7 linked regions of the Sus scrofa genome follow. The protein of the gene in region 5 interacts with the protein of the main gene of each other region in a pairwise test. Links are inferred from orthologs where the notes say so. Each region holds a gene or a part of one and is shown on either strand. Other genes may lie near its edges. The genes, in order: LASP1, PIN1, PIN4, EIF4E2, ZBTB9, EHHADH and DTNB.

Region 1 (3,815 bases), on a different chromosome or scaffold from region 5:
CAGTCCCAGGGGCCTAAGTCTCTGGGACCCCAGAGCAGAGGCCGGAGGAGCAGGGGAACGGGAGCTGGGAGCTTTGCCAAGAATTTTCCCACCTGGGTATCTCACTGTCTGAGAGCAGCCACCTTTCAAACAATGCATTTGGCATCTGCTAAGGGCCAGGCCACCAACAGGGCTCTGCCCCACCTCTGGGAACAGGAGTGCAGGTGAGGTCCCATGCACACTGCCCCAGGTAGTTTAAAAACATACCCAGGGAGTTCCCTGGTGGCTCGGTGGGTTAAGGACCTGGCATTGACACTGTGGCAGTCAGGTCGCTGCTGTGGCGTGGATTCGACCCCTGGCCCGGGAATTTCCACATGCCTGCGGGTACAGATAAAAAAAGCAAAAACCAAAAAAAGAAAAAAATGATATTCCTGGTCTGCAATGATCTGTATTACTATAAACACTAGACTTTCTTTTTTTAAAGCTGTTGATGAATCTGCTTCCCAAGTTCAAGACAAAGAACAACTCCTGAGAGAAAAACCATCAGGTCCCACCTTCCAACTTCAGCAAAAATCTTGTGTTTAAGCCCCAGCTCTAGGAAATGTCCAAGAAAAACACATGAAACCCATCTGTGATCTTGGAGGCAGGCAAGATTCGAACGCCCTCTGACCCTCGCTGCCCTTGACATGGACTTGTCTCTGGGGGTCAGCTCAGCCTGTACCGTCCAGCCTCTGGTTTGCCTCTTCCAACTGTCCATCCATATTTTATTTTATTTTACTTTTTTGTCTTTTTAGGGCTGCACCTGCGGCACATGGAGGTTCCCAGGCGAGGGGTCTAATCGGAGCTGTTGCTGCCGGCCTACACCACAGCCATAGCAACACCAGATCCGAGCCGTGTCTACAGCTCATGGCAACGCCAGATCCTTAACCCACTGAGTAAGGCCAGAGATCGAACCCGCAACCTCACGGTTCCTAGTCGGATTCGTTTCTGCTGCTCCGCAACGGGAGCTCCCTGTCCATCCATTTTTGATCTCAGGGGGAACTTTCCAAAATGCAAACCTGATAATGCCACTCCCAGCTTTAAATCCTTCAGAGGCCCCTTATCTTCTTTAGCATGAAAATTCAGACTTTTGATCAAGCAGCAGAAACCAGCTCCATCAGCCCCGAAGGCTATGGGCTAAGAGGTCACAACCCTCAGGAAATGACTGCAGTGACCGCAGCCATTTCCCTTATCACCAGCTCTGCCTCTAATCTCTCGGGCCAACTGGCCACCACCTAGAGCTGCATCAGCCGAGTTTATCTCCCTGTTTCTGCCCTCGTCTTCTACTGCTGCTTCTCAACACGGCTGCTAGAGCCATCTTTTAAAAACACAAGTCAAACCCCTCGCCCTGCACAGCTCCCCAGTTCACAAAAGCCTTCCTGTGGCCTCCAAGTCCCTGTAGGATGGGACCTCACCTCCCCACCGGCTTCCCCTCCCTAGTCACCCTGGCCCTCCTGCTGATCCTGGAACTTTCCTAGAACACTGCTGCCTCAGGGCCTTTGCACTTGCTGGCCTTCTCCACCACTCAATCCTTTCCTGAGAACTGTCATTCTCTCCCCTCACCCGGCTGTCTTTTTCTTCACGGCTTATCTCTGACCTTTCGTTACTTCTGCTTATCTATTGCTTTCATGTTTGTCTCCCAGACTGGATGTAAGCTCCAAGAGGCCGAGAAGGAGGACTTTCTTCAGAGCCAAATCCCTCATGTTCAGGGTGGACTTAGTGAGTATCTGAAGGACTGGCTGGTCCATCCGGAACCTCATCCTTCAGATGCTCCCTTGGGCCCGCCTGACACCCCAGATACTGATAAGGGCTGGAGTAGGATCATTACACAGGTAGTTGTAGGAGTCCCAATAAGGGACCGAACATAGATAGAGAAACCTAAGGAACGTTGGGAGATCACTGTAAGTTAATAATTGCTCAAAAAAGCCATGAGAACAAGGCAGGATTGCCTGACTAGTGGCGGGGAGGGATAGGCCTGAGGTCACTGGGTGGAGGATGGAGCGAGACCTGCATTCAGGCTCAGACTAAGGGCAGGAATTTAAAGACAATCCTTGTGCAAATGTGAATAAGCGCCAAGACTGTTCTAGTTTAAGCTTATAGGGTCAAACACTCGCTTACCAGATACCAAGGAGGAGCTACTACTTGAAAGATGAAGAGGCAGTCTTTTCCCACCCCAGTCCCTTGGATTGTAAAACTGCAGCGCACCTAATCCTCGGGGCAGAGCCTCGTTGCCTGCCCACTGGCATCTCTCACAGGGTCCTACCTTAACAAATCTATTTCTTGCCTGTCACTTTGCCTCTCGCTGAATTCCTTCTGCGCTGAGGCACAAAGAACCTGACCCTCAGTGAGGCCAAACGCCAGGTGAGTGATTCTAATTTAAAAACTGTTGGCTGGAGTTCCCATCGTGGCTCAGCTGAAACGAATCTGACCAGTATCCATGAGGAAGCAGGTTCGATCCCTGGCCTTGCTCAGTGGGTTAAGGATCTGCCATGGCCGGGAGCTGTGGTGTAGGTCAGACACAGCTCGGACCCAGCATTGCTGTGGCTGTGGCGTAGCCTGGGACCCCTAGCCTGGGAGCTGCCATACGATGTGAGTGTGGCCCGGCCCAGGCCAGGGCTCTGCCCACTACTCCGCGCTTCCTCTCTGCTCAAGAGGCTGAGACCCTTATCACCTGCAGATGTCAGAGGAGCTGGGGTCAAAGGTCAGGGGAAGCTGGCTGGGCCTCTGGGTTTTCCAAGTCTAGGAAGCCTTTCCCTAAACCTAGCCACCTCCCCCAGCTCCCCTCCCCCTGACCTCGACCAGGGCTACTCACCCCGCCCCCTCCTGGGGCGCTGCGCTGTATGGAAACTGGGGCTGCAGGCTCCTTGTAGCCACCATAGGACTGGGCCGCCTGCTGCTGCTGGGGCTGCTGGTAAACTGGAAGACAGCAGGAGACAGGCGCAGACACTAAGACAGTGTCCAAACCCAGCCCCTCCCAGAGCCCCCTCCCTTCCTGCATGAAGCCTATGACCGCCCCCCAACCCTGCCCAACCCCCACTTCTCAAGGCTTCTGCCTCTGAGCACATTTGCTGGTGTCCCTACCCTGCAGCAGTGGCTGTGTCGCCCCCCCATTGCACTGGGGTCCAGCACAGGCCCTGACCCTCAGCCCTCAGTAGGGATGGGACCTGGGTGTGTGTGTGTGTGTGTGTCTCACCTCCTGCCCACCCTGTGGCCAGCCTGGGTGTGTGTGTGTGTGTGTGTGTGTGTGTGTGTGTGTCTCACCTCCTGCCCACCCTGTGGCCAGCCTGGCCTCAGGTCCTCAGACCCCGCAGGCCTTGCGCTCACCTGGGGTGCTGGTCGGGATGTGATGAGGCTGCTGCTGCTCCTGGGGCCGCCGGTAGCTGGTGTCCTGGGCATCTCGGCGCTCGGGCTCCAGGCCCTCACCCCCGCTGGGGCCCATGCGGCTCTTCTCAAACTCCTCGTGGTATTTTATCTGCAGGGGCAGAAAGTGCTGCTGAAGGACCCACAGCAAACCCACCAAAGCTCCCTTCCGACACCACTTGGGATGGGAGAGACTCCTGGAGGTCTCCAGGCAGAGAGAGCCGGGTCCTCGACCGCCGTGTCCCAGCTGGGTGCCCTTGGCCGAGCACTTAACCTTGCGGAGCCTCCACGTCCACTTCTGTAAAGTGAGACATCAGTGTCTCCCTCAGGGGTTGCTGGAGGAGGCAGCGAGGTGAAGGGCAGGAAAGGCCATGTACACTGAAGCCCCAGAAAATGCAAGCGGTCACTTTGATCTGCCCGAGGCGGGGGCCGGGGCT
Region 2 (4,319 bases), on a different chromosome or scaffold from region 5:
ACCGTTGATCAGCTCCAGAGCCTCCTCCTTAGTCCGGGTGATCTTCTCCTGCCGCCAGGATGAGGGCCGCCGGGACTGGCTGTGCTTGACCAGCAGATGCGAACAGCGGACCCTGGTGGGCTCTCCTTGTCCATTTTTGCTGCCGCCACTGCTGTTGCCACTTGGCCGCTCCCACTGGCTGGCATTAGTGATGTGATTGAAGTAGTACACCCGGCCTGGAAGAGGTGGAAGTGGAATTCAGCTGGGACCTGCTCACAGGACACCACTGGGAAGCCATGATCAGGGGCTGGCTGACGAACTACCTTTCATTCAGCAAGTCCCCAGTGCCACCAGGCCTTAGGGAGCTAGCATTCTAGCTGGGGACACAGACACCAAAGAAGCAAATGAGACCACCTTACAACTTCAGTCATTAATAAGGTCAAGGGGGGAGTGCAGGATTTTTGAGCACTAGCTAGTCTCAGACTACTTGTACTGCCTTACAATAAATGCTACACTTTCTTTCACCACCAAAAAAAAAAAAAAAAAAAAAAAAAGTTCAAGGGGGAAAATAACTGAAGGTTAGGAAGAGAGGAAGCCTCAGGGACAGAGAATGGTTCCAAGCATGCATTCAGCAAGGCCGGTCCAAATCTGTGGCTCCACCACACCCTCACATGTGATCTACCTTCCCGGGGCCGTGGTTTTCTCGCCTATAAAATGAAAATAAGGACAGTACCTGCCTGAAGGAGTGACTGTATGAATTCACATCTGCAAAGTACTTAGGACAGCACCTGGCACACTTAATTAAGAGTGTAGGAGGAGTTCCCGTCATAGCTCAGCGCTAATGAAGCAGACTAGCATCCATGAGAACTTGATCCCTGGCCTCGCTCAGTGGGTTAAGGATCCAGCGGTGCCGTGAGCTGTGGTGTAGGTCACAAATGTGGGTCAGATATAGCATTGCTGTGGCTGTGGCATAGGCTAGCAGCTGTAGCTCCAATTTGACCCCAAGCCAGGGAACTTCCATATGCCATGGGTATGGCCCTAAAAAGACAAAAAAAAAAAAAAAAAAAAAAGACTGTGGCAGCTACTAATATCTCCATGTTATAGACCACAAAACTAAGCAACCTTCCCTGGGTATTTACTCTGCTCCAGGCATAAAAGCCGGGGGTGGGGTGTGGTGGGGGAGATAGCAGGATCTGTACTCAGGTGTGCCAGATGCCAAAACTCTGCTCTTTTCCCCTCTGGAGTGCACTGTGCAGCAGAACTAGGGGCCAGCATTACTGGGGGCCAGATGTTACCCAGAGACTAAGGAGCATGGAGTGAGGGCTGCAAACAAGAAACCTGAGGCCACTCTCTGGCCTTTTGAGATAATATTCTGTCTAAAGAATGTGCATCTTCCAGGCTGCTCTCACCTTCTGAGACGGCCCACACTGTATCAATAAATCTACTTCTTATCTAAGGAAAAAAAAGAAAGAAACTTAAAGTAGGACCCAGTAGAGATAGGCTGTCATTCCAGGGGCCGAGTTTGTCTGGGTTATATGGAGGACTTCTGCCCAAGACCGTGAAGGGCTGGATGTCACCCAGGAGGAAGACTGTCAGGGTTGAGCTGAGCAGAAATGGCAGGAGTGGAGGCCCAGAACTGAGAAGAGCATCAGCTTTTTTGCTGCAGGTCCCAGCCACAGGGCTGCAAGCAGGGTGGGCCAGAGCTGAGCCAAACAATGCCTCTAAAACCTTGGCAATGGGTTCCATCTCCCTGAACCTGAGTGTACTCATCTGAAAAGTGAGGGCAAGGTGAGAGAATAAAGATATAACACTTCATGGGGTTAATGTGGAGAGTCCATCATGATGAGTGCAAAGTGCTCGACAGAGCTCCTGGCGTTCAATAAATTGGAATTATTACTGTGACCATGATGATTATGAGCTATGGAGGCAGGGGAGTGAAATGGTGGGCCTGCATCTCAGAGGTTTACAGTAACAAGGGCAGGGGGCTCTGGAGTTAGACTGGTATCTAACCCAGCCCCCAGCCCCTGAAATGAACGACTATGGGCGAGTTTCTTAAGTTTTCTGGCCTCGGTTTCCTCACCGGCAAACTGGGTGTTATTAACTACCCTACCTCTCAGAGTTGTGGCCAGAGTACACACTTAACACCCTTAGCACAATACTTGGCACTGAGATAAGACCTATTATTAACATTATTATGGGGGAAAAGCCCTAATCGGCTCCGAGCACAGAGACTATTCTCAGGCAGATAACCTGAATTCTCACATTATAGCAAACTCAGAATTCGGTGTGGATGGCAGGCACGTTAGCAGGAGGTTTAGGATTCGAAGCCAAGCAACACCCTGGGGCCACGCCCTGAGCATGGTGTTGGGGTGTCCTTCCCCAGGGGTGCCCCTTGGGCCCAGCAGGGTGCAAAGACATCCCCCCCCACCCCCGCCGGATGTCAGGTGCATTAGGCTGAAAGATGTCAGCAAGATCGGCAGGACCAAGGCCATTGCCTGGGGGAGCGCCGCGGGTACACTGTCCCCCTACCACCCAGGCAGCGCGCCGGGCCTCTCCGACCCAGTCCCTTGCCTCAATTTCCTCGGGTTCCCAGCTCCTCAGGCTCGCAGCCCCGGGGAGGGCCGGGGCCGTTACCCAGGGACAACGCGAAGGAGCCAAGACCCCACGGGAATCGAGCGGCCGCCCGCGTCCGAGGGACAAGCTAGAGCCCTGCTTCCATGGGCCCACACGGCCCCGCCCCAGCCCCGACCCCCGCTGCACCTGAGCTGCGGCTCATGCGCTTCTCCCAGCCGGGTGGCAGTTTCTCTTCGTCCGCCATCTTCCCTCCTGCGGCAGAGCCCGCTCCACCTCCGCCGCACCGCCTCTGCCGCCCGTGCCCGCCCACCACCGCCGCCGATTGGCTGGCCCCGTCACGCCCCGGGGCATGGCGACGACACTCATTGGGAACCCTAACTGTCCGGATTGACTCTCTGGCTTCCTATTGAGCAGAAGAAGGAATAGGCGGAGCTTCACATATTTCACCAGGGCTGGGCCTTCTTGAGGGCCTCACCCAAGCCCCGCCCTCCCCCTTTCCTCGGCCCCTAAGTGGTGGGAAAAGGACCTGAGCCCGCCTAATAACGCCCTTTGGCGAACTTCAAAGAAGTTTCGACCCCGCCTTTGCGTCCTTCGCTGCAGAGCCCATTCGATTGGCCAATGCCGCAGCAATTCCCGCCTTCTTAAGCCTACCCCCAGCCGGCGCCCCCACGTGGAAGTGCCTGGCTGGTGTGAGGGTAACCGCCGCAGAGGAGGTTCTTGGAAAAGGCACGCTGCCTTTGCTGTTACCATAGCAACCCAGTTACCTTGGTGATGAACAGCTAAGAACCCAGAAGCCTAAATTTGGCTTCTCCACCCTCCCTCTTCCCACCTGTTCCTTCCACATGCCCAAAGCTAGCCCACCTCCTTTTAGTTTTGTGTAAGTCTCTTTCCCTATGCTACTTACCTAGACACCTTCCACTTCCTTTAGAATCTACTTTACTTCACTTATTCCCTCACAGTCTGGCTCCTGTCTCCATCCTGGGTGACTGGTAGGTGTTGGCATTGCCATTCAGATGGGGACAAGGGGGAAGGTGCAGGTGGGAAGATGAGGAACTCAGTTTTGAGTCAGTTTAAACTTAAGTCTGGCACATGTGGGACACACCAAGGAGGTGGTTGGAGACCTAGGGCTGGAGACAAACATGGGAGTCAAAACACCAACAGGGAAGAGTTCACTTACAGTTCATCTATAGCACAGGCACTTACGTAACCGCTGAAAAGAATGAGGCTCAGTGACATGAAACGCAGAGGAACACGTCTATGACAAATTACAGAGGTAGGATGCTGTAGGTTAAGAGCATTCAGGAGTCAGATTGCTTTGGGTTCAAAGCCTAGCTCTACCATTTGCTATTACCTTGAACAAATTACTTAACCTCTGCACTTCAGCTTCTCCATCTGTGAAATGAGTTTAAGAGATAATACATATCGTAAATACCTTTGATATAAAGATTAAATGAGTTAATAATCTATATAAAGCACTCAAAAGCAGTATCTGGTCTTAGCAAGGATATATGCTGCTCAGTGGAAAAAAAAGTCATTGTACAGTGTAGCAATTATAGAATGTATGAAAGCATAACAAAACCAAAAAAAAAAAAATTCAGCAAATAAAGGTTAATTTGAAAGAATGACATCACTTACAGAAAGATATCAAAGCTTTAAAAAGGCCTTAAAAAGCAAGCTGCTGAACGGTATGAATGTTATTAGAGTATGCATACTTAGTTGTGTAAAAACTGCAGTTTTATATCACAGAAAATTTCTGGATTCATTCA
Region 3 (4,315 bases), on a different chromosome or scaffold from region 5:
CAGCACTGTCACTCCCAGAGGCTACTTTTCCTTTAGAGAAGAGATGACAGGTACTCATTTAAACTTGTTATTTACAGAGAAGTTCAACATAACAGGAGTTGATACTTCCACCATAGCACTAAGCTTCAAAAGGGAACTCAGTAGACACTTTACTTCATGAAGCTAAATTAATCTATGATTCACCTCTCTTCAAACAGGAAATTTGTGCCCTACATAAACCCTTCACAGAAAATGGATACACAAGTAAGTGTGCTGTAGTTGAATGGGAGCACCTAAAGCCCAGCCTGGATTCCTTGCATCCACTTTGAAATCCTGCCCTCTAAGGGCAAACCACTGAGCTCTTGGGAGATTTCTAATAAGCACTGCAACCATGTATTTGAGTACTCACAATTCCAATAAGTAGAATCTCCAAGAATGTATTTTAAAGATCAAATTTCCCACCATCCAGATTTGGATAAACAATACATTCATGTCCAGACTCTTGGAGTCTACTACATTGCCTATTGATACCTTCCAAAGAAAAGTTACTGATATTCAGATTAACAACCACTGGCAGCATTTTACATTTTACTACTGTGTCATTTTGCTACTATGTCAACTTCTGCACTGATGGCAGCATACTTACTGTTGGAGGCTGATGTTCCTAAGAACTATTGTTGGATTAAGTGTTCAGTTCAATAAACATTTCCTAAGTAACTAAGTTCCAGGCAAAGACATAAAGATGAACAAGCTCCCTTGCTCAGGGAGCTCATATACTACTGGGAAGATGGTTATATAAAGTTATGCAAAGCAGATCTCTTCAGGAGAATGAGGTATGCTCTACAGACAGGTGGCTGTGGAAGCAAAGAGGGATATTTTAGCCAGTCAGGGAAGTTTTCTTGGATGAGTAGGAGCTGACCAGGCAAAGAAAGAACAAAGGCGGGGAGACGCTTCAGGGTGGGGGAACAGTGCAGTATGTGTAGAAGACTATGGATGAAGCCAAATCTGAGGTGGGAGTGGGTGAGATGAGCCCAGGGGAGGTGGCTGGGGGTTAGGGTATGCGGGTCTTTGGGCCCCATTAAGGAAATTGGAATTGATCCTAGGAGTAATAGGGAGCCATTGAAAAGTTTTATTCAGGACTCTCCATCTTACTTGTCTTGGATCTCCACTGCCTAGCATACAACAGTTGTTCAATAAATGTTCAACCAAACTGAAAACCCAAAATTCTGACCACCAAATGGCTAGGAGAATGTTACGGCCACAGGAGTTTTATTACATCAAATTCTTAAGTGAGTCTGCTGTACACTGACACTAGAACAATAATGCCTTCCAGTTATCCCATCCTCTCCCCTACTCGATGCTATCATCTTCTGACGGCCAGCTCACTGGCTCTGACTGAGGACTCTGGCACCAACTTCAAGCTTCCATTCCACCCTCACTCCTGCCATGAGTTTAGATGACCTTACCACCTATGCAGAGGAATCATCCAACAGCCTAACCTCGCACTTCTGGAGCTCCATCCCAAATGTCCATGCCTTCTACTCCAAGCTGCCTGTTCCCAGGGGCACACGATGGAACTGTGCCACTCAGAACTAGTGGTTCAGTCTTTGGCTCAATTTCCTGTCCTTCCAAGCTTTCTCATGCCTCATTCCCACAACGCAGGCCCTTTAATTCCACAAAAACCACTCTCCCACTCAATCCCTTTATCCTGCTATGTTCCCCTAGACTAACAGACTTCTCCTTCCCTTCCCACTCTGGATCCCATGCTTGATCATCTGAACTGCGTTTCCACTGGTACTTGTAATTCCCTTACATTGCTCTTCTTCTGTTATCATTGTCCAACAAAATCTTAACTTTGGCTCAAGGCTACAACCTAGCTCTTTTCAGTCCTGTATTGTGTCAGTTATATGGTACTCAGTAAATCATGACTGTGCTATGTCCTCTACAAAGTCATGGCCTTCAGTCTTATTCAGGCTCTCAGCCCTGAAGGCGACACTTTTATTAATGTTTCATCCCCTCTCCCATGATCCCAACGACAATTTCAAACCTTTACCACTCTCTTCAAGACCCCTACTCCGTCCCTGCCTCCTGAGTCTTAAAAACTACCCCTACCTTCCACTTTATTAAAATATTGAGGTCATTAAACCTGATCTCCTAGAAACTCCACCCCTCCTCCTCTCTGGCTCCAATTTTCACAATCACATCCATCTTCATCTCTTTCCCTGTGACCTCAAGCATATTGTGACCCTCTCCTATTCCAAGAATAACTGATCCACCGTTTTTCTCCTAAGTCTCACGCCTCTGTACCTTTCCCTCTCAAACCCTACTGGATCTGTCAGCCTCATTCCCAAGTTTTGCCCATTGTGAAGAAACAAACAAAATCAAAATTTCAAACTTTCTCGTAATCCTCTTCTATGTACCATCTAATCCCCATTTTTTGCCCCCCACCCCCGCGGCATTCGCAAGTTCTGAGGCCAAGGATCGAACACGTGCCACAGCAGCGACCCGAGCCGCTGTAGTGACAACTCCTGATTCTTAACCCGCCGAGCCACAAGGTAACTCCCCCATGCTTTTAAATAAAAATTTTCCTGAGAAGTCCACACTGCTTCCAACAATTATCACTATAATTCTCACTATATCACTTCCTGGTCAGTGCTCTAGTCACTAGCCACCCGCTGCCTCCGTCCCAGATCCCGGGAATCCCCAGTCTGCTCCCTCGCTCTTCACCCGACCCCATTCTCCTCAGCTGCTCTGGCTGCTCTACCTTTCCCCCCTTTTCCCGATGCGCTTTTTCCTTTCGGTGGCATCTCCGAAACTGGTCGTCGAACTCTCAGTTGCTTTAGTTGCCACACAAAGCCCCTTCAAGCCCCACGGGTATGTCCTAAACATATGCCTGCAAGCGGCATGGCAATTGGCCATTCTTACTGCGGCTCAGGAAGCAGGCATATCTTGGGGCAGACCCGGTCCTTTGGCTCTAGGGCCAATGGGGCTAAACAAATCTGACCAATAAAAAGCTCGGGCCGGGTAGGGGGGCGGAGCTAGAGGTTGGGCAGGGACGGGAAACCCCGCCTCTGCGCTATTTGCTGCTTCTGTCTCTCGACCTTATTTGTGCACCGCTTCCCTCATTCCCCCGCCCGCCTCTTCCACGCATGCGTAGTGGTACCCGCGGGCTTCTGCAGTCCCTCGCCCCGGCTCTACTTATTCTCGCGCGGCGGGCAGACAAAGGCAAAGCGGGAAGCGACCCGGCGGTTGCTTCTCGGTCCTGCCCCATCCTGCACGCGAGCGGCAGATTGTCTCTTTTGGGTTTTCGTTTTTAAAGTTGATTTTGCAGCTTGTAGCTGACTTAGTTAAAAAAGTGTTTTTTAAAAAAGGATATCACCCCCCTGCCTCTTGCAGAACTCTCATGGAGAAAAATTGGAAGCAGTCTAAATGTCGAACATTGCCTAAATGAATAATGTTTCGATAACACAAAATGATAGGCCCCTTTAAAAATAATGGGTGTAAAGCTGTGGGTACAGACACAAGAAATGGCCTTAAGGAAGGTTATAGACCAAGCTAAAAAATATGATTTTTTTTTTTAAGGGCCGCACCCCGCGGCACATGGAGGTTCCCAGGTTAGGGGTCGAATTGTAGCTGTAGCTCCTGGCCTGCGCCACAGCAACCCACCGCAACGCAAGATCCGAGCTGTATCTGCGACCTACCTACCACAGCGACCTACCTACCACAGCTCATGGCAAGTGGCCTTGTTCAGTGGGTCCTTAATCCACTGAGCAAGGTCAGGGATTGAACCTGCATTCTTGTGGATGCTTGTCAGATTCGTTAACTCCGGAGCCAAGATGGGAACTCCTATGATTCTTTTCTTTTTAAGTATATTGTATACTATATAATATGTGCATATGGAAGACGGGAAGGCTACAGCAAGGTGTGCTCAGTGGTGCTAGTACAAGTTCCTGTGTATGTTTCTGCTTATTTTCCAAAATTTCTATCACAGTGAAGCATAATACAGTTAAAAACGTGGATTCTGGACTACCTGGCTTCAAATCCCTGCTCCACCATCTGGCTACCTAGATGGCCTTGAGGAAGTTACCTGACTTCTCTTTGGCTCAGTTTCATCATCTGTAAAATGGAACTGCTGATAGTAATATTTACTTAAAGGATAAGAGTATTCAACAAGTTCATATTTGTTTGGTTTGGTTTTGGGTTTTTGTTTTTTATTTTTACTTTTATTTATTTATTTATTTATTTTTGTCTTTCTGTCTTTTCTAGGGCTGCACCCGCGGCATGTGGAGGTTCCCAGGCTAGGGGTCTAATTAGAGCTGTAGCCACCAGCCTACGC
Region 4 (4,472 bases), on a different chromosome or scaffold from region 5:
CGCCCGCTGTGCATCTGAAGCAGGGGCTTAGATCTGGCAGGCAACTGGAGGATGGTGGACCATCCCTGGTTCCTGTATGCCTCTTACTAGCTTAGTCACCTGGTATTGGTCCCTCAATCTCTGACTGCTTCAGAAAGCGGAGATTAGCTCTGTAGCTCCTGGCAGAAATAAGCAACGATTAACAACAGCTATCGCTTATGAGGGGCACCTGTCTACCGCCTACCACTGACGGTCCCGTTCAATCCACACGCCAACCTGAAGAGGCGGATACTTTCAGTACAGGATCGCCAGTACCGTGCAGCCGCCCTGGGGGTGGAGTCGGGATCTGTACCAAAGCCATGGGTCCAGAGCCTGCGCCGCCGCCGACTCGGCGCTGTATTTCTCCGAACCTGCCCGGAGAAGGGCTCAGGACGCGCTCCCCTGGGCAGGGCGGGCGGCGGCAACCCAACAGAAACACAGCTCAGGCCCGCAGGCCGCCGGGTCCCCCAAACCCAGCGCCGCGGCGCAGCGGCCGGGGGCCGGCGTCCTGGGATACGCGCTCCCACCTGGCCGGCGCAAAGACGTTCCGCCGCGTCCCGCGCAACCGGAAGTGGCCGGACCCGAGGCGGAGGGACCTGGCGGAGCGGAAGTCACTCCGTGAGGCAGTGGCGACGGCGGCGGCGAGAGGATGAACAACAAGTTCGACGCGTGAGTGCCGCGTGGCCGACCCCCGGGGCCCCTTCCCCCAACCGCTCCCCGCGCCCGCCCCCGCCGGGACCGCGGCAGGCGCAAACTGCGGCACCGGCTCCCCTCCCTCGCTGGGGCTGCGGGCTGGCCCGGCCTGCGCGGCCGGCGGGGAAAGGGGGTTTGGGGACGTGGGATGCCGGGGTGTCGGGGGGTCCCAGGGTCATACGGACCGAGGACGACGTGCGGGGCGGGGGGGGGGAGGAGGTGGCCGTGCCGCCCGGAAGGGGATTTTTGGACGCCCAGCGCGGCGGGTGCAGGTTGCCCGCGGCGTGGAGGGGCGGAGACCTCGGTGGTTTGGGTGTTTCCGCAGCCTGTCTCCCTTGGCTCTGAATCCAGCTTTCCGCACACACTCACGGTGGCCTAGCGAGGTCCCGTCTCCTGTCTGTGTTCTCACTTGCAAAGTGGGCACGGTAACAGAGCCCATGTGGGAGAGTTGCAAAGATGCGGTGAGGTAATGTGGCTGCCGCGCTCAGCGCAGTGGCTGCTCAGTTACGGAATTCTCCTCGTCTTGCTGAGACTCCTTCCTGCTTCCTTTCTCCTCCCCCTCCTTTCCCCGTCTTCCAACACACTCCAAACAAGGGCGCCTCAGTTTCTTGCCCAGCGAGTTCACTTGTTTTTACCCTTCCTTTGCAGCTCTGTGCATATCTCATACGATTTCTAGTTCCAGCATCAAATAATTTGGAGGCGCAGGAAGGAAATGCAGTTATTTTTGCATATTTTCCTCCAGCGATTGTTATCACGGGATAGATTATGTTCTTAGCTGTCTTTTAATCGGCTAGTAACTCTATCTTCTCTTCCCAAGACCTAGATTTCCAGTCCCAGACCCACCAGTCACCAGTTATTTGACGGCAGAAAAGTTACCCGGTTTCTGAGCCACTGTTACCCAAACCACATTAGTGGTTAGTGCCCTGTTGCCACACTGAATGTGATATGGATCAGATCACATCCAGCCGTGCTTAAGGTACTTTGTAAACTGACAGGGAGATATAAATGTAAACTGAAATTACTCTTAGTTGAGGTTGCCACTCACTGTTGCTGATGGGAAATTTTGAGTTTTTCCAGTACAGTGAGTGCTGGTGGATAATTCAGAGGTCCTGGATTCCAGCCCTCCTGGTAACTCTTCAGGCATGTTTCTTGGTTGCTGAGCGGACTCTTGCTGAAACAACATTCCTTTTTGATTTTTTTGGTTTTGGGGTTTATTTAAACAAACAAATGCTTGCTTGCTTGCTTGCTTGTTTAGGGCCATACCCCAGGCATAATGGAAGTTCCCAGGCTAGGGGTCAAATTGGAGCTGTAGCTGCCGGCCTCCACCACAGCCACAGCAATGTGGGACCCGAGCCATGTCCATGAGCTACATCACAGTTCACGGCAATGCCAGATTCTTAACTCACTGAGCAAGGCCAGGGATCGAACCTGTGTCCTCATGGATGCTAGTCAAATTCATTTCGGCTGAGCCACAACAGGCACTCCCCCACACTCTTTTTTGGATGGGACTTGAACCCAGCCAGAACTCAGAATGGGACTTGCATCCACAATCCCCAGCTTAGCGGGGGACTCAAACCCACTTTTATTGTCTTTTTAGGGCCACACCCATGGCATATGGAGGTTCCCAGGCTAGGGTTCAAATTGGAACTGTAGCTGCTGGCCTACACCACAGCCACAGCAACACCAGATCCGAGCCATGTCTGTGACCTACACCACAGTTCACAGGAAGGCCAGATCCATAACCCACTGAGTGAGGCCAGGAATTGAACCTGCATCCTCATGGATGCTAGTCAGATTCATTTCTGACGAGCAACAACAGGAACTCCTCAAACCCACTTTTAATTGAAACCACTCACCTGGTGTCAGGACATACTGAAGCTCAGGTCAAGAGGCAAAATGATAGACAAGGGTGATTTATTACCACCGGATGCTTGTGAGAGAGAAGCGGGCAGGCCAGGGAGTGCAGTCCCAAAGGAAAGAGGGCTCTGTTTTTATAATCAAAAGAAAAAGTGGGTCCTCATTTTTGGATAGATGTCAAGGATCACATCATTAAATCCTCCTCTGGCCCTCTGTGGTCTAACCAGAACTGTTCCCACCGTGGCTCAGCAGGTTACCAACCCAACTAGTATCCATGAGGATGCGGGTTGGATCCCTGGCCCTGCTCAGCAGGTTAAGGATCTGGTGTTGCTGTGAGCTGTGGTGTAGGTCACAGACGTAGCTCAGATCCCGAGTTGCTGTGGCTGTGACCTGCAGCTGCAGCTCCAATTTGATGCCTGGCCTGGGAACGTCCATATTCCACAGATGGGTCCCTAAAAAGCAAAAAAAAAAGAAGAAAAATGGCAATAACGGCTTCCACATGCGTTGCTACTTTTCGTATATTATTTCTGTGTCTGCTAACAACCCTCTAAAGCAGATTTTGTTAACCTCCTTTATAGATAAGGAAAACGAGACTCTCTGAGATTAAATAACTTGCCTGCAACAAGAAGGGCCATATGGTGGGATTCAAACTCAGGTTTGTTTAATGTTGGTTCAAGTACCTCTTGACGAAAACTAACTTTGATCGTTTTTAATTAGTTTTAGTTATTAGCTATTTGTATGCTGAGCCAGATTTTTAAAATATCTGTTTTCTAGCTCTGCAGGAAGCAAAACTGTCTTCCATTTAATTAGCACCTGAGAACAACACCCCTGCCCTTAGTTTTGTTTTTGTTGTTTTTGGTTTTTATGCGAAAGAGTGCAGTTTTTAGGCTACTGCCTTGTATTTGGCCTCTGCACCCTTCACCACATGGCTCCTAAGGATGTGTTCCAGTTTGCCAGAATCCTGATCCAGTGCCTGGATTGAGTACTGTAGTCTAATCCGGTGGGTTTAGATTAAAGATGAGCTCTAGGCTCCCTTTTTGTGAGACTTTCCAGCTTCGTAACCTAAATGCCCCCCCACCCCCAGTCCTGAGCTCCCACTGGCCTTGATCCTGTTCATATGCAGAACCCCAAGAAGCCTTCACTGTACTTCAGTCCCTAAGGTATTGAGCTGGGTTTTTAAATTTAGATGCCATATTTGATTTCGTACCTGTTCTTTCTCCATTAGCTTTGGCTCATCTTTTTCTTCCTTTTTAAACATTTTTTTGGCCTTGTTTGTCGCATGTGGGAGTTCCTGGGCCAGGCATTGAACCCCAGCCACAGTAGTGACAATGCTGAATCCTTAACCACTAGGCCACCGAGGAACTCCAAGCTTTGGCTCATTCTTAACTGTTGTCTGAACAACTTGTTTGATGCGCATCCTCTTCTGCCTTGTGCTGCTTTGATTTTAGAAGTCCATTCGGAGTTCCCATCGTGGCGCAGAGGTTAATGAATCCGACTAGGAACCATGAGGTTGCGGGTTCGGCCCCTGCCCTTGCTCAGTGGGTTAAGGATCTGGCGTTGCCGTGAGCTGTGGTGTGGGTTGCAGACGCGGCTCGGATCCCGAGTTGCTGTGGCTCTGGCGTAGGCCTGTGGCTACAGCTCCGATTCGACCCCTAGCCTGGGAACCTCCATATGCCGCGGGAGCGGCCCAAGAAATAGCAAAAAGACTAAATAAATAAATAAATAAATAATTAAAAAAAAAGAAGTCTATTCACTAAACATGTGTGATTTCTCCCACTGCCTGATGCTGGACGTGTAAAGATGGATTAGACCACGTTCCTACCTGCAGTGAATTGTCTAGTCAGAGTACGGGGGTATACCTGGTGAGCTCATTAGGTGCCACTCAGTCTGGACAGCCTTAGATA
Region 5 (4,519 bases):
GCAAAATAAGGCAACTTACCAGAGGCTATTCAGTGGCAGGTCAGGGTAGAGAATCTGGCCCACTCAAGTTCAGGACAGTGTTCTCTGCACCAGCCTGACACCATCCCATTCTTCCCCTGGCAACATGACCCAGCTGCATAAGGAATACATCCAAGTCCTTGCAGCTCTGTTCTCACTGTCTCTCCCACATAAATGACTCAATTCAGTTCACTGTCAGCTTTGATTTCAGGGCAAAGTTTATTTGAAGAAATTAAGACACCTACACCAATCTCCCCACTCCAATATCTACCCTTCTACCTGTCCACCAAGGGCTGTCGCGTGTGGGTGGGACGGAAGGAGAGGGGCTATGGTCCCGCTGTGCAATTATTCTCTAGTTTTCAGCATGCGCCATCTCAGCCCTGAGTCCCTCTGACCGTGACCACTTGTTCAGAGCAGTGGTGCAACCCCTGAGATGGTCAGGGGCCACCCCCTGAGTCCCCTGGTCACATTCCAGTCACCGTGATCACCTGAGTGATCAGGGGGGTCAAAGGCAGAGAAGAGGCACAGACTGTAGAGGGAGTGCCCTCCACTAAAGACTGTTCTAAGTGACCCGCAGAATGCTCGACTGGTTAAAGTGCTCAACTACAACGTACAGAGACAGGTGTTGGAAAAGTTCCTACTGGTGAGAACACAATTGAGGATCTAAAGAGCTCATGGAAAGATACGACAAAAGGAGGATATCAAAAGAACTCTACTCACATAATTGCCGCAATGATGAGGGAGGAGAGCTTAGCACTTAGTCTCTGAATTACCAGGACTCTGAATCAAATGTATCTCTGGATGGAGACCAGCTCCTTTAACTCAAAAGAGCGTGAATGAAACATTTACCATTACGGTTTTCTGCTCTAACTCTTCTCTCATCAGATCAACTACTTTGAAATACGATTTCCTGCATGAAACCATAGCATGGACAAGTGATCAATTTACGAATGGCTATAAGCCATTTTCCTGTAGGATAGTCAGCAAGAACCCGGGCTGAGAGAAGGAACTGGAACTTCCAAATCTGCCAGGTTGACGCCCACACCCAAGACCATGAGGCTCATTAATTATCTACCCTTTGGGCATGATTAACGAGACCCCAGACTGGGGTGCCAGGGTAGTGAGGATAAGCAGGGGCTCCATCAGCAGCAGGGGCTCCCTTGTCCTGGGAGTCAGCACACAGCCTCAGCAGTCACTTGTACGTCCAGTGAGCAGTGGCCCAGCCCTGGCCCTTGCACAGGTCTCGGTGGCGAAGGAAACAGGCATGCACTCGGAACCGACGGCCGCAGTGGGGACAGGCGTGCAAGGCTCCTGCGTGGGTCTTCATGTGCTCCGTCAGATGGTGCTTCAGCTTGAAGCGCTTGTTGCAGACGCCACAGCCAAAGGGCCGAAGGCTGAAGGTCAGCATGATGTGCCGGTCACGCTTCGGCTTCACCGCAAACCGCTTCCCACACAAACAGCCAAAGCGCTTTCCATCTGCAGGCGGTGCCCCCCCCAGCTTCACAGGCCCATGCACAGCCTGCCCTGCTCCCCCAGGGCCCGCACCCCCCGACAGGATTTCATTCCCATGAAGATCCACCGGCTTCCAGGATGGACCTCCTCCTCCCGATGTTGACCCTGCGCCTGAGGGCAGCAAGAAGCCCAGCTCCCCGTTCCCTTCCACGTCCCCTGCAGGAAGCACTCCGGTCTCTTCCTTCGATCCTCCAGATTGCGTTCCGCCTCCTACTATCTCCTCCTTGGGCTCAAAGGGTTCCTGCTTAATGTAGAATATCTTGGGGGGCAGCGCAGTGTGAGGGGCAGGAGGCTCCAGCAGAGCGCTGTCACCCTCTGGAAGCCTGCGTGGAGTACTGGATGTGGGCAGCGTGTGGGATCCAGGAGGGCGGGGAAAGCTCCCTGATGCTCTTGGAGGCTGCGGAGTCTGAGAGGATGCTGCCGACCTCTGGCCCTCCTCTTCCTCCTCTTCTTCCTCCTCCTCCTCTTCCTCCACTTGAATCTGCAACACCTCTCCCAGTTCACTGCCGTCCCCTACGACGGGGCTCTCAGTAGAAGCCGAAGCCTGCGCTGGGGTCTGGAAAGAGGAAGAGCGAATGCACCAGCCTCCTGGAGAGGCTGTGGTGGAAAGAAGTGCGTGGAAAGGGGTGGCTGCCCGGGCTGAAAGTCCACCACCTGAGTTCTCCAGTTCTTTAAGAATTTCTGAGCACTGATCTACTACCTGCCACATCTGGAGGCCACTGGCCACAAGCAGGTGGGCTGGGAGGGCATCCAGTGGCAGACGGAGGCGCCCTGAATAAATGAGCTGCAGCAGCCCCTCGAAGGCATCGGCTTCAATGACACTGGGCAGAGTGAGCCGTGGCGCATCCCCCAAAAGCAGCTTGTCATGGAAGTAAGGAGAGGCAGCCGCCAGCACTGCTTTGTGTGCCCGAAGCTCGCGGCCCTGAACCAGGAGGGACACGTCACAGAACTTCCCCTCCAGCCGGTGGCGGTTCAGGGCTTCCAGCAGCAAGGAGCTGTGCTGGGGGAACTCGATCTGGATCGTCCGCGGGGCAGGGTTGCAGGCGGGGGAGGGGGCCCCGGGAGGCACAGGCGTCGAGGCAGCCATGGCCTCGTGGGTAAGAGATCTCCGAGGGTCGCGTACAGGCGACGGGGCAGGCCGGCGCGGGACGGACGCTAGGAAGGAGAGAAGGGTCGCGGGAGCCGTGCTGGGGGCACCGCGTCTCCCCGAATGCCCCCGCACTGCCCCGCAGAGGAAGCCAAAACAGTCTCCACGCCAAAGCACCGACCGCGGCTTTAACCTCAAGGCCTGGGGGGGGATGAATCCTTCGGCCACGAGCCGGGATCGCCGGCCGGGTCGGCTCCCGCCCGCCGCTTCGCTCCCACTCGTGCGCTCAGACTGCCCGGCTCCCAGGCGGTCGCCGCCGGGGAGACCACGAGCGCCGGCCAAGTTCCCGCCGCCACGCCCCCGCCGCTACACACGCGGCCCCCGCGGCGTCCCGAGCGCCTCTACAGCCACCTCGCCGCCCCGACCGGAAGTCGCCGCCTCCCCGCCGGACGCCGACGCAGAGGGCGGGGCCGGAGCTGCAGCCAATCGGGGAGCGCCGATCTACAAGCCTCGCACTGATTGGTTGTACGGGAGAGGGCGATGAGGGTGGGAGACCGCGGCTTCCACCCGGACGGCAGGTCTGGAGGCCCAGCCGCAGAACGGCGCACCCCGACGGAGTGAGCGACCCGGGAGCCTTTCCGGTAATTAGATGTAGCGCCCCCCTCCGGCAGGTGCTGAGAGGGCGCGACCAAGTGGCACCCGCAGTATGGGCTAGGGAATGCTCCCCATCACCTTGTACCCTCGCCCCCGGCCACCTGCGAGATAGGTGTTGCCAATCCTGAGTCTCCTCGGGGGAAATCGCGAGCGGCGGGCCTGGGGTTGGAACCCAGATCCGCCAAGGAACCACAGTCTTTTCCCCATTACGCACGGGAGCATTCTAACCAGCAGTTAAATAAATTTCCCTTTCTAGGTGATTGTTTTGAGGTGTGCGTAAACATATACTTGGCATCTTTTATAAGGGAATGCTATGTTCCTTGACCTCTTTACTCGGGTTAAGTGGTGCAGTGGTGAGGGGAGATGGACTGGGTAAGCTGGGCCAGTGCAAAGCCCCCTCCCTCAGACAGTAAGTCTCCTCGCTGGTTGGGATAGGGATATCCTAGGGGAAGCCTGTGGCACCACGCAGGGACATAGAGTTGCTCCCAGGCTGTCAACATTCCCTTCAAAAAGCAGATCCTATCGCTCTGCTGGTCCTCCTAGAGGTCCCGGCCTAGGAAAGTCAGCGCAGCGATAAAAGAACAATCTCCGTTTATTAAACATGATTTTTGTTTCACCACACACTCCAGAAAAAAAGGAAATGGGGCTGGGAGTGGAGAAAAAGAGGCAGTGGTGGGGGATAGAGTAGTCTGGGGGTAGGGTGGGGTGGGGAGGGAGAACGAGAAAACAAAATAAAACAGGTAGGAAGAATATCTCCTACCCTTAGGGTGTGGGTGGGGAGGAAAGTCTGGGGGGCAGGGGGCCAGGAAGCTCTGTACAGAGGGGTCGCCCCCAGCCCACACACACACACCCCGGATATGTACAGTACAAACCCCAGATAATTACAACAGCCAAAGAGAAGAGGAAGGGGGAGTCCAGGGGTAGGATCTGAGGTTGGGAAAGCGAGGAAAGGGCACAGGGATAAAATTTCACATATTTACAACTTTTATATAAGTATAAATTTGGCCCCGGCTGGGTGTAGGTGTGTAGGGGATGGGACTGAAGGGGAACTGTCCATACAAAAGAAAGAAGAGTGGAGTCTGGGAAGAGTCTCAATACCAAACGCAAGAAGGGGTGAGGGACTAGGCTGGGGAGGGGGCGGCAGTCGGGGAAAAGGGGATGCCAAGGAGGGGCCTCTTCCCTCCTGTGACCTAGCCCCCCCAAACCCCATCCACCCTACCTCCCCTATCCCGCCAGAGAGCTATGTAC
Region 6 (3,583 bases), on a different chromosome or scaffold from region 5:
CAAAAAACGGAGTTCCCGTCGTGGCGCAGTGGTTAACAAATCCGACTAGGAACCATGAGGTTGCGGGTTCAGTCCCTGCCCTTGCTCAGTGGGTTAACGATCCGGCGTTGCCGTGAGCTGTGGTGTAGGTTGCAGATGCGGCTCGGATCCCGCGTTGCTGTGGCTCTGGCGTAGGCCGGTGGCTACAGCTCCGACTGGACCCCTAGCCTGCGAACCTCCATATGCCGCGGGAGTGGCCCAAGAAATAGCAACAACAACAACAAAAAGACAAAAAAAAAAAAAAAAAGAACTCAAAAAACCCTCAAAGTTAAAATTGACTCAAGGTCTAAAGAAAAATTTATGTTGTGTATTAATTTGAAATAAGTTTACATTAATTTGAAACTAAATCACTTTGGAGACAGTTACTATTTTCAGGAATATTTTCTTTTGATGTTTTTAATTTTAAGGACCAATTTATATAAAATCCAGCAATACTCATCTCAAAATTATTCTAAATTTAACTACAATTCAAATCACACTCCAGAAGTTTTTTTTTTTTCAGTTTGATTTTTACAATGGAAAATGTGTACTATATTCATTCAGGATTTCTCCATCAGAACTTTTGGTAATATTTTTGGGGTTAACTGATGAAAATATTACAAAAAAGTTTATTTACATCACCCTGAAGGATAATAACTTAAGCCCATTTGTTTGTTTATTAACTTTATTAAGATATAATTCACATACCATACAGTTCACCCATTTAAGGTTTACAATTCAATGGTTTTTAGTAGATTCACAGAGTTAAGTAACCATCACCACAATAATTTCAGAACATTTTAATCAACCCCCAAAGAAACCCTGTACCCATTCCAATCACTCCCCAGCCTCCAATCATTCCAGCCTCAGGCAACCTATAATCTGCTTCTATCTTAATATATTTACCTGTTTTTTTCACTTAGCATAATATTTGCAAGGTTCATTATGTAGCATGTATGAGCACTTAATTTCTTTTTATAATTAAATAATATCCTATTGTATGGCTATTCTACATTTTATTTATCCATTCATCAGTTGATGGGCATTTGGGTTGTTTCCAACTTGTGGTTATTATGAGTAATTCTGCTATAAACATGTGTATAAGTTTTGATGTTGACCAGCCCCTCAACTTTTAACTGTACAAGGCAAAAAGTAAAAAGAGAAGAATTCTTGTAACAAAACTATAAGAAATTTTTCTGTAATAATTTTAGATTTGTCAAGTTGTGACCATTTCACACCCAACAAAGGGGTGACAGCGGAACTGTCATGACAGAGGAACTAGCACCATTACTCTATCACATAGTCGAAGGAGGTTAGATCCCTGAGATCTCTTCTTATACTAAGTCAACGACTTACTCCTTCTTGAATATGAGTAAAGAAAGACCAGGTTGAAGTTCCCATTGTGGTGCAGCAGGAACGAATCAGACTAGTAACCATGAGGTTGCAGGTTCAATCCCTGGCCTCGCTCAGTGGGTTAAGGATCCAGCGTTGCAGTGAGCTGTGGTGTAGGTTGCAGACGGGGCTCAGATCTAGTGTTGCTGTGGCTGTGGCGTAGGCTGGCAGCTATAGCTCTGACTGGACCCCTTGCCTGGGAACCTTCCTTATGCCACAAGTATGGGCCAAGAAAGAGAGAGAGAGAGAAAGAAAGACTGACTGACCAGGTTGTAGACATCCTGGGTCCTGAGGAAATTACCATCAAACATTGGGAACAAACAGCAAAGACAACTATGCACATGGGCCTTGGACAGGAATGGTTATTGAGCATGACTTGCCACACTACCCTGAGTTCCACATTCTGGTGGGAAGATTGTGATTTCCTCACCAATTCCCAACTGTGTTTGGCCTACAGCATTAACACTGTTCTGCTGTTGATACCTTGTCTCTGGTTATCGCCTCTGCCTCTCCTTGGGCAGCTTTTCAACTCATGCATAGAGACCCTCACTGCCGACTCTACCCTGCCAACCATCTCTGCTCCACCTCTGAGGCTATGAACTGATCTTTATCCCAGCTTCCTTGCAGGATTAATGCCCCTCTGGACTCTAGATCTGTTGAGTGCTGTGCAAGATGCTCAGGGGGGCACAATAAATGTCTGTTGAGTGAAGGGTCCATAAGACTTCCTACATGTGTGAGGCTGAAAGGTCTCAGAATGAATTTAGGACTCAGCTGCATTTATCAGTTAACAATTGATGATATATTCCTCCAAAGATCAAAGAATTTGAGAACCTCAACTTATTCCTGAGGCTTTCTCCTTAGCTATTATGGTGTTAACACAAGTTTATTCCCCGTGATTAAAGTCATTTATCTGTTAGGGACAGATTCTGAGGCATAAGAAGCACATTCCTGAAGATCTGACATTAGAATTACCATCAGACAGAAGACCCAAAGAGGAAGTTTAGCCAACTGATTATTCCTTTTGCTTTGTATTTCAGAGCCCTCTTACTTTGGATCTTGGATTTAATTTCAATGAAATTCAGCAAGCATTACCTGATGCCAATATGTGAGTCAAAACCCAAAAGGCTGAATCACAACTTACTGCTGGGGGGTCCTGCCAAGCTTTGCCATTCTTTCAGGGGAGGGTTTCCCTGGGAAGCCAGTTTTTTCAGATAGTCACAAGGCTCTAGTTGGGGAATATCAGGATTCTGCCTGTGATATTTCTGCAACTTCTCTAGCACTGTGGGCAACCCAACTGTGGAAGCATAGAACATAGGCCCACCCCTGTGCCTTGGCCATCCATACCCGTGTAAATAGACCACATCAATGTGCTCTGGGGTAGCTGCTATCCCATCTTCCAGGATGCGGAATGCTTCATTGATGAGTGAATATAAGCAGCGGTCAAGGATCTCATCCCGGCTAATGACACGTGGTTCAATGTGATGGGTTTCTCTGTACTGTGTCAGAAATTTGGAAAACCAGGGATCAGGTTTGTGAATCCTACCCAATGGCTTATCATAAAGGTACCAACCCTTACCTGTCTTCTGGCCAAACCGTCCCAATTCACAGAGCATATCAGGAACTGGGCAGTACCTCTGGTTGCCTCGCTTTCGGGCAGAAGTTCCTGGAGGCAATGCAGGTCCAGTAAGACCTTGCCCTTTCCGAGATTTCCAACCTATATCCAACCCAGCAAGATCAGATACTCTAAAAGGTCCCATTCTGAAACCAAACTCTTCCAGCACCTGATCTATCTCCTCTGGCATACTGCCATCTTCTAATAAGAAATATGTCTGATCATAATAAGGCTTCAACATTCGATTTCCAACAAATCCAAAACAGTTGCCTACAACTACTCCAATTTTCTTAATCTTTTTTGATAAATTCATAACAGTGGCAATGGTAGTGGGGGAAGAGTATCGGCTGGGAATAACCTCTAACAACTTCATCACATGAGCTGGTGAGAAGAAGTGGGTGCCAATGACTAAGTGAGGACGATTGGTGGAAGAAGCAATTTCATCAATGTCCAGGGCGGAAGTATTGGTGCACAAAAATGCTTGTGGCTTGCACACGGCTGACAGTTCAGCAAAGACCTGTTTCTTCAGGTTCATTTCCTCAAATACTGCTTCAATGACTA
Region 7 (3,815 bases), on a different chromosome or scaffold from region 5:
TCCGGCAGCGGGCAGGGGTCTGCAGAGGCGTGTGCGTTGGGGCCCGTAGGAGAGCCAGCTGTGGGGCCTCTCGCTTCATTCCAGTCGCTGCCCTTTATAAATATTTATAGCAGTTCTTCTACTAAAAATAACATCCTGGAGCCCAGGGAGGAGAAAAAAATAAATGAAAATCACCGGGAATTGGGATTGATTACCAAGTGCGCCGGAGCCGAATGGACCCGAGAGGGGAGAGGCCGGGCAGCGCGCCCCCTGGCGGTCACGGGTCCGCGCGCCCCGCCGGCCCGCCGGGCTCTGCGGCCCAGGATCCCCTCTCCAGCCGCGGCGGGAGGAGGCCGTAGCAGGGGCTGCAGGGCAGAGCTCTCTCTGCTCCCGCTTCCCGCCTGGGCTGCTGAGCGGCGGCACCGACCGGGGCGGAAGCCTAAGCAGTGAGAGAGAAAGGAAGGAGGCTATTTTTAGCACTGTGGCCAGGGTGTGAACGTTTGTTGAACTGAGCAGGGCCTGAAGCTGTCTTTGCACGACAGAGGGAAGAAAACCTGTTGGCTTTTAAAGGTCAAAGGTCGGGAGAAAACTTGTGCCCTCACCCTGGGGGACAACGCGCATGCTGGCGAGATGCCAGCAAGAACTCCATCAGGTCACACACACAGGAGAGTCGTGCTGTTTCTTTTCTCTTTTCAATCTCCAGTAAATTCCCTGTTGCAGAGATGAGACCATGCCCGGAAGGGAGTGATGAAGATGCTAGTTCATGCAGGGCTGTGCCAGGAGGGGGGCGCGCCCCTCCCACTTCCCAGGGGCTCGGGCTCCCCTCTGCCTGGCGGGTGGTGACGTCTGGCAGCCCGCAGGCCTGGTCCAGGTGTGCCGTGGAAAGATGGACAGGAATTCGCCTCTGGGGGAGGACCTCGCCTTCCTTGTGTTGGTGCCAGCTCGCTCCACGTCCCCCGTGCCTGTGCAGGACAGACGCACTGTGACTCACAGGCACTGCTGAGGGTCTCCGAGCAAAGGCTGCTAACATCTGCCGGGAACAAGACAAACGTGCAACGTTGGTGCTGCTGGAATGCGCACCTTTCAACTTTCAACATGCAAAGGGCTGACAATACTCACACCCCCTTTTAGGGAAAGGGGGCTTCCTTTTTCTGGGGGTACCTCGAGTCTTTGGAGTGCTTGCTTAGGTCACAGGGTCAGGAAGCGTTTCCAGGGAAGAAAGAAGGGTGTTCACAGTGCAAGGTTTTGGAATGCGGGAGGCTCAGGGGAAGAACTGTGACTGAGAAGGGCGAAGAGGTCGGGGATGTGCCGCAAAGCGCTGCGTAGAGGGAGGGAAAGCCTGAGCCTCACGGCCTCAGAGGAGCAGAAGGCAAGGGTCCGTGAAACTGCCCCACCTGAGCGTTTATGCTTTTCATTCTCCGCTGCTGCAGAGTTTCTCATAACTCCTGAGGGGTCCGAGGACAGCACTAGGAGCAGAAGCTCCAGCTCCGATGCCAGTTCTGGCTCCAAGCTCCTGGGTAGTGGGCCTTAGCTTCCTTGTGTGCATGAAGTGGGGGCGGGCCTGATGGCTTCCTTGTCCCCCAGGACCTCTGTGCCCCGGGAAGAGGGGCTCTGGCAGGCTCCCCCAGCGCAAGTCAGCTACGGACTCGCTTGCTGGCAGAGGCAGCCAGGCCTGCTGTCAGGAAGGGCCTTGTCCGCATGCGCAGTGAGCTCAGGCAAAAGCCTGCCCTGGGGCCTCGGGGGCTCCGGGATTCCCAGGGCAGGGAGGGGATTCCTGCAGCTCGGGGCTGCCCATCCTTAGCCTGCACGATCCCGGAGTCAGTGGGGGCTCAGAGACAGCAGGCCCCAGAGAGCGAGCAGGACAGAACCCAGGGCCTGGTGCAGCCGGGGGGCGGGGGTGTCAGGAAAAGGCGGGAGGCTGCTCCAGGGGGAGACGCCTCAGAAGGGCCTGAGAAAGTTCCTTTTCTGGATCATGGGCTGCAGCCCTGGCTTTTCTGCCTGTAAGATCTGTAACCGAGGCCTAACTTTAAACACAGGAGATGGGGGAGGGAGGGAAGACTCTTATGGCCGCATCAAGGCATCTAGCCTGGAAAGAACTCCTCCTGAACGGACGCGCTGTCCCCTTATTCCCATCCATTCCCATCCTTCCGGGGCGCCTGTGCCAAAGCTGCACTGCCTTGGAACTGGGACCCGTTAAGAGTTAAGGTCCTCAGATGGAAAAACGCGAAAGATTAATTCCTAATGGCAATGGGCATTGGCCTGCGGGGAAATCTGTACTGTTATTAAAATTTTTTAGGAGGTGAAGAAACAGTGCAGCTTGGCCAGGCGTCATGGGAAATGGCTTGGTCAGCTTTATGAATCCTGTGTGACAGAAACACGTGGTGGGTTCCAACTCTGGGTGACAGAACCTCAGGGGTGTGCTTGCTGGCTGTGGTTTGGAACCCCAGAGAGAAATGACATGACAGTGGCGGTGGGAAATCAGGAGCAAGGAGGCAGAGCCGTCCTGGGAGGTGAGCTCTGGCGCCTGCTCCCAGGGCCTGTTCCAGCCAGCAGTGTCTGGTCTGCCGCCTGTATGCAGACACAGGGGACACGAGGGCCTGCCTGCGGCCCAGGCCCAGGGCAGTGCAAGACAGATCCGGCCGGGAAACTGGGGCAAGCAGGTACACCAGCAGGGCCGTACAAGAGAAGAGGTGCAGCGGGGCTCCTAGAGGAAACCCCAACTTGCATCTCATGTGCTGGGGTGGCTCTGGCTTAAGAAGCATGACCGAGGAAAGGCGGGTGGGGAAGGGGCTCTGGGGGCCGGCAGAGACACTACTCACCTCGCTTCCTCTCTGTCCCGGCTCCTCCGCTAACCTGTGTGCAACAGACACAAACAACACACCGAGGTCACAGCCGGGGTCTCCTCACCCCCCGCCTCTTCTCCTAGGGGTTCCCTGCCCTGGGGGCTCCTGGCCTGGCCTGGCCTCTCCCCTTTGTTCCTCATTGGTCCACTTTTCCCCGACCAGGTATGAAACAGGGGAGTCAGACTTCCTACAACCAGCAGCTGCAACTGACATAAAACAGCCTTGGAGACAAGTGGCTCTCAGGAAGAGGAAAAAAATAAGACTAACATGGAAAGGAATCCACCTTAAATCTAGGGAGCAGTTCTATTGGGGGCTCCGCCCATCGGGTTCTGCACACGAACAAGGTGAAAATGATTTAAACTTTGATAAGAGCACAATTTCCCTATCTGCTTGGGATACTAAATCATAGTCGGGCTCACCCTGGAATCCTGAACCACTGCCTGGACCCTCCAAAGCCTGCTCTCTTTTCACCAAGGACCGCTGCTGTCAGTCTACCAGACACGCACCAGCCTGAAGCGTGCCAAGCGGATTTACAGCTCCTGACACTGTGGTGGCAGGCTGTGGGGGAGGTGATTTTGAAGGACACAGGCATACAACATGAGGCTCTGGAGTAGCTGAGATGAATTTAGGGCTCTGGAGTAATCTGGGGGGGAAGGCAGGCTAGCCCATGTTTCATCTACGGAGTCTTGGTTATCCGTACCGACCACGCGAGGGAGCAGATGCAAAGCAGGAAGGGTGCCCAGTGGAGCAGAAGCATTGGTCAGGATGCAGCCGGACAGACAGCTGGGGAGGGCAGGGAGCAGCTCGAGGGAGAGGTGAATGTGGCTGCCAGGTCAGCTCGGTCATGAATTCTTCACAAGTGCCCACCTGGGAGTTCCCTGGTGGCTAGGCAGGTTAAGGATTCAGCATTGTCAGTGCTGTGGCTTGGGTCATGGCTGTGGCTTGGTTTGATCCTTGGCTTGGGGACTTCTCATGTGGCAGGCATGGCCAAAA

What was found.
Region 1: the proteins of ZBTB9 (region 5) and LASP1 interact in binary tests that used the Homo sapiens proteins (3 or more experiments, as listed by UniProt). The two-hybrid records come from large-scale screens. The link is inferred for Sus scrofa from reciprocal best matches to the Homo sapiens genes ZBTB9 and LASP1.
Region 2: the proteins of ZBTB9 (region 5) and PIN1 interact in binary tests that used the Homo sapiens proteins (3 or more experiments, as listed by UniProt). The two-hybrid records come from large-scale screens. The link is inferred for Sus scrofa from reciprocal best matches to the Homo sapiens genes ZBTB9 and PIN1.
Region 3: the proteins of ZBTB9 (region 5) and PIN4 interact in binary tests that used the Homo sapiens proteins (3 or more experiments, as listed by UniProt). The two-hybrid records come from large-scale screens. The link is inferred for Sus scrofa from reciprocal best matches to the Homo sapiens genes ZBTB9 and PIN4.
Region 4: the proteins of ZBTB9 (region 5) and EIF4E2 interact in binary tests that used the Homo sapiens proteins (3 or more experiments, as listed by UniProt). The two-hybrid records come from large-scale screens. The link is inferred for Sus scrofa from reciprocal best matches to the Homo sapiens genes ZBTB9 and EIF4E2.
Region 6: the proteins of ZBTB9 (region 5) and EHHADH interact in binary tests that used the Homo sapiens proteins (3 or more experiments, as listed by UniProt). The two-hybrid records come from large-scale screens. The link is inferred for Sus scrofa from reciprocal best matches to the Homo sapiens genes ZBTB9 and EHHADH.
Region 7: the proteins of ZBTB9 (region 5) and DTNB interact in binary tests that used the Homo sapiens proteins (3 or more experiments, as listed by UniProt). The two-hybrid records come from large-scale screens. The link is inferred for Sus scrofa from reciprocal best matches to the Homo sapiens genes ZBTB9 and DTNB.

Annotation. Positions count from the first base shown.
Region 1 is NC_010454.4:23,225,699-23,229,513, forward strand, and holds part of LASP1 (LIM and SH3 domain protein 1), read right to left. Parts: intron 3,491-3,815; coding exon 3,343-3,490; intron 2,935-3,342; coding exon 2,831-2,934; intron 1-2,830. UniProt on the Homo sapiens protein: Plays an important role in the regulation of dynamic actin-based, cytoskeletal activities.
Region 2 is NC_010444.4:68,714,431-68,718,749, reverse strand, and holds the start of PIN1 (peptidyl-prolyl cis-trans isomerase NIMA-interacting 1), read right to left. Parts: upstream 2,853-4,319; 5' UTR 2,798-2,852; coding exon 2,740-2,797; intron 216-2,739; coding exon 3-215; intron 1-2. UniProt on the Homo sapiens protein: Peptidyl-prolyl cis/trans isomerase (PPIase) that binds to and isomerizes specific phosphorylated Ser/Thr-Pro (pSer/Thr-Pro) motifs.
Region 3 is NC_010461.5:58,068,335-58,072,649, reverse strand, and holds the start of PIN4 (peptidyl-prolyl cis-trans isomerase NIMA-interacting 4), read right to left. Parts: upstream 2,893-4,315; 5' UTR 2,787-2,892; coding exon 2,744-2,786; intron 31-2,743; coding exon 1-30.
Region 4 is NC_010457.5:133,059,649-133,064,120, forward strand, and holds the start of EIF4E2 (eukaryotic translation initiation factor 4E type 2), read left to right. Parts: upstream 1-1,551; 5' UTR 1,552-1,687; intron 1,688-3,146; 5' UTR 3,147-3,203; coding exon 3,204-3,223; intron 3,224-4,472. UniProt on the Homo sapiens protein: Recognizes and binds the 7-methylguanosine-containing mRNA cap during an early step in the initiation. Acts as a repressor of translation initiation.
Region 5 is NC_010449.5:29,753,263-29,757,781, reverse strand, and holds ZBTB9 (zinc finger and BTB domain-containing protein 9), read right to left. Parts: upstream 3,054-4,519; 5' UTR 2,618-3,053; coding exon 1,211-2,617; 3' UTR 214-1,210; downstream 1-213. UniProt on the Homo sapiens protein: May be involved in transcriptional regulation.
Region 6 is NC_010455.5:123,103,400-123,106,982, forward strand, and holds the end of EHHADH (peroxisomal bifunctional enzyme), read right to left. Parts: coding exon 2,541-3,583; 3' UTR 686-2,540; downstream 1-685. UniProt on the Homo sapiens protein: Peroxisomal trifunctional enzyme possessing 2-enoyl-CoA hydratase, 3-hydroxyacyl-CoA dehydrogenase, and delta 3, delta 2-enoyl-CoA isomerase activities. Catalyzes two of the four reactions of the long chain fatty acids peroxisomal beta-oxidation pathway.
Region 7 is NC_010445.4:113,473,656-113,477,470, reverse strand, and holds the end of DTNB (dystrobrevin beta), read right to left. Parts: intron 2,833-3,815; coding exon 2,799-2,832; intron 1,010-2,798; coding exon 578-1,009; 3' UTR 462-577; downstream 1-461.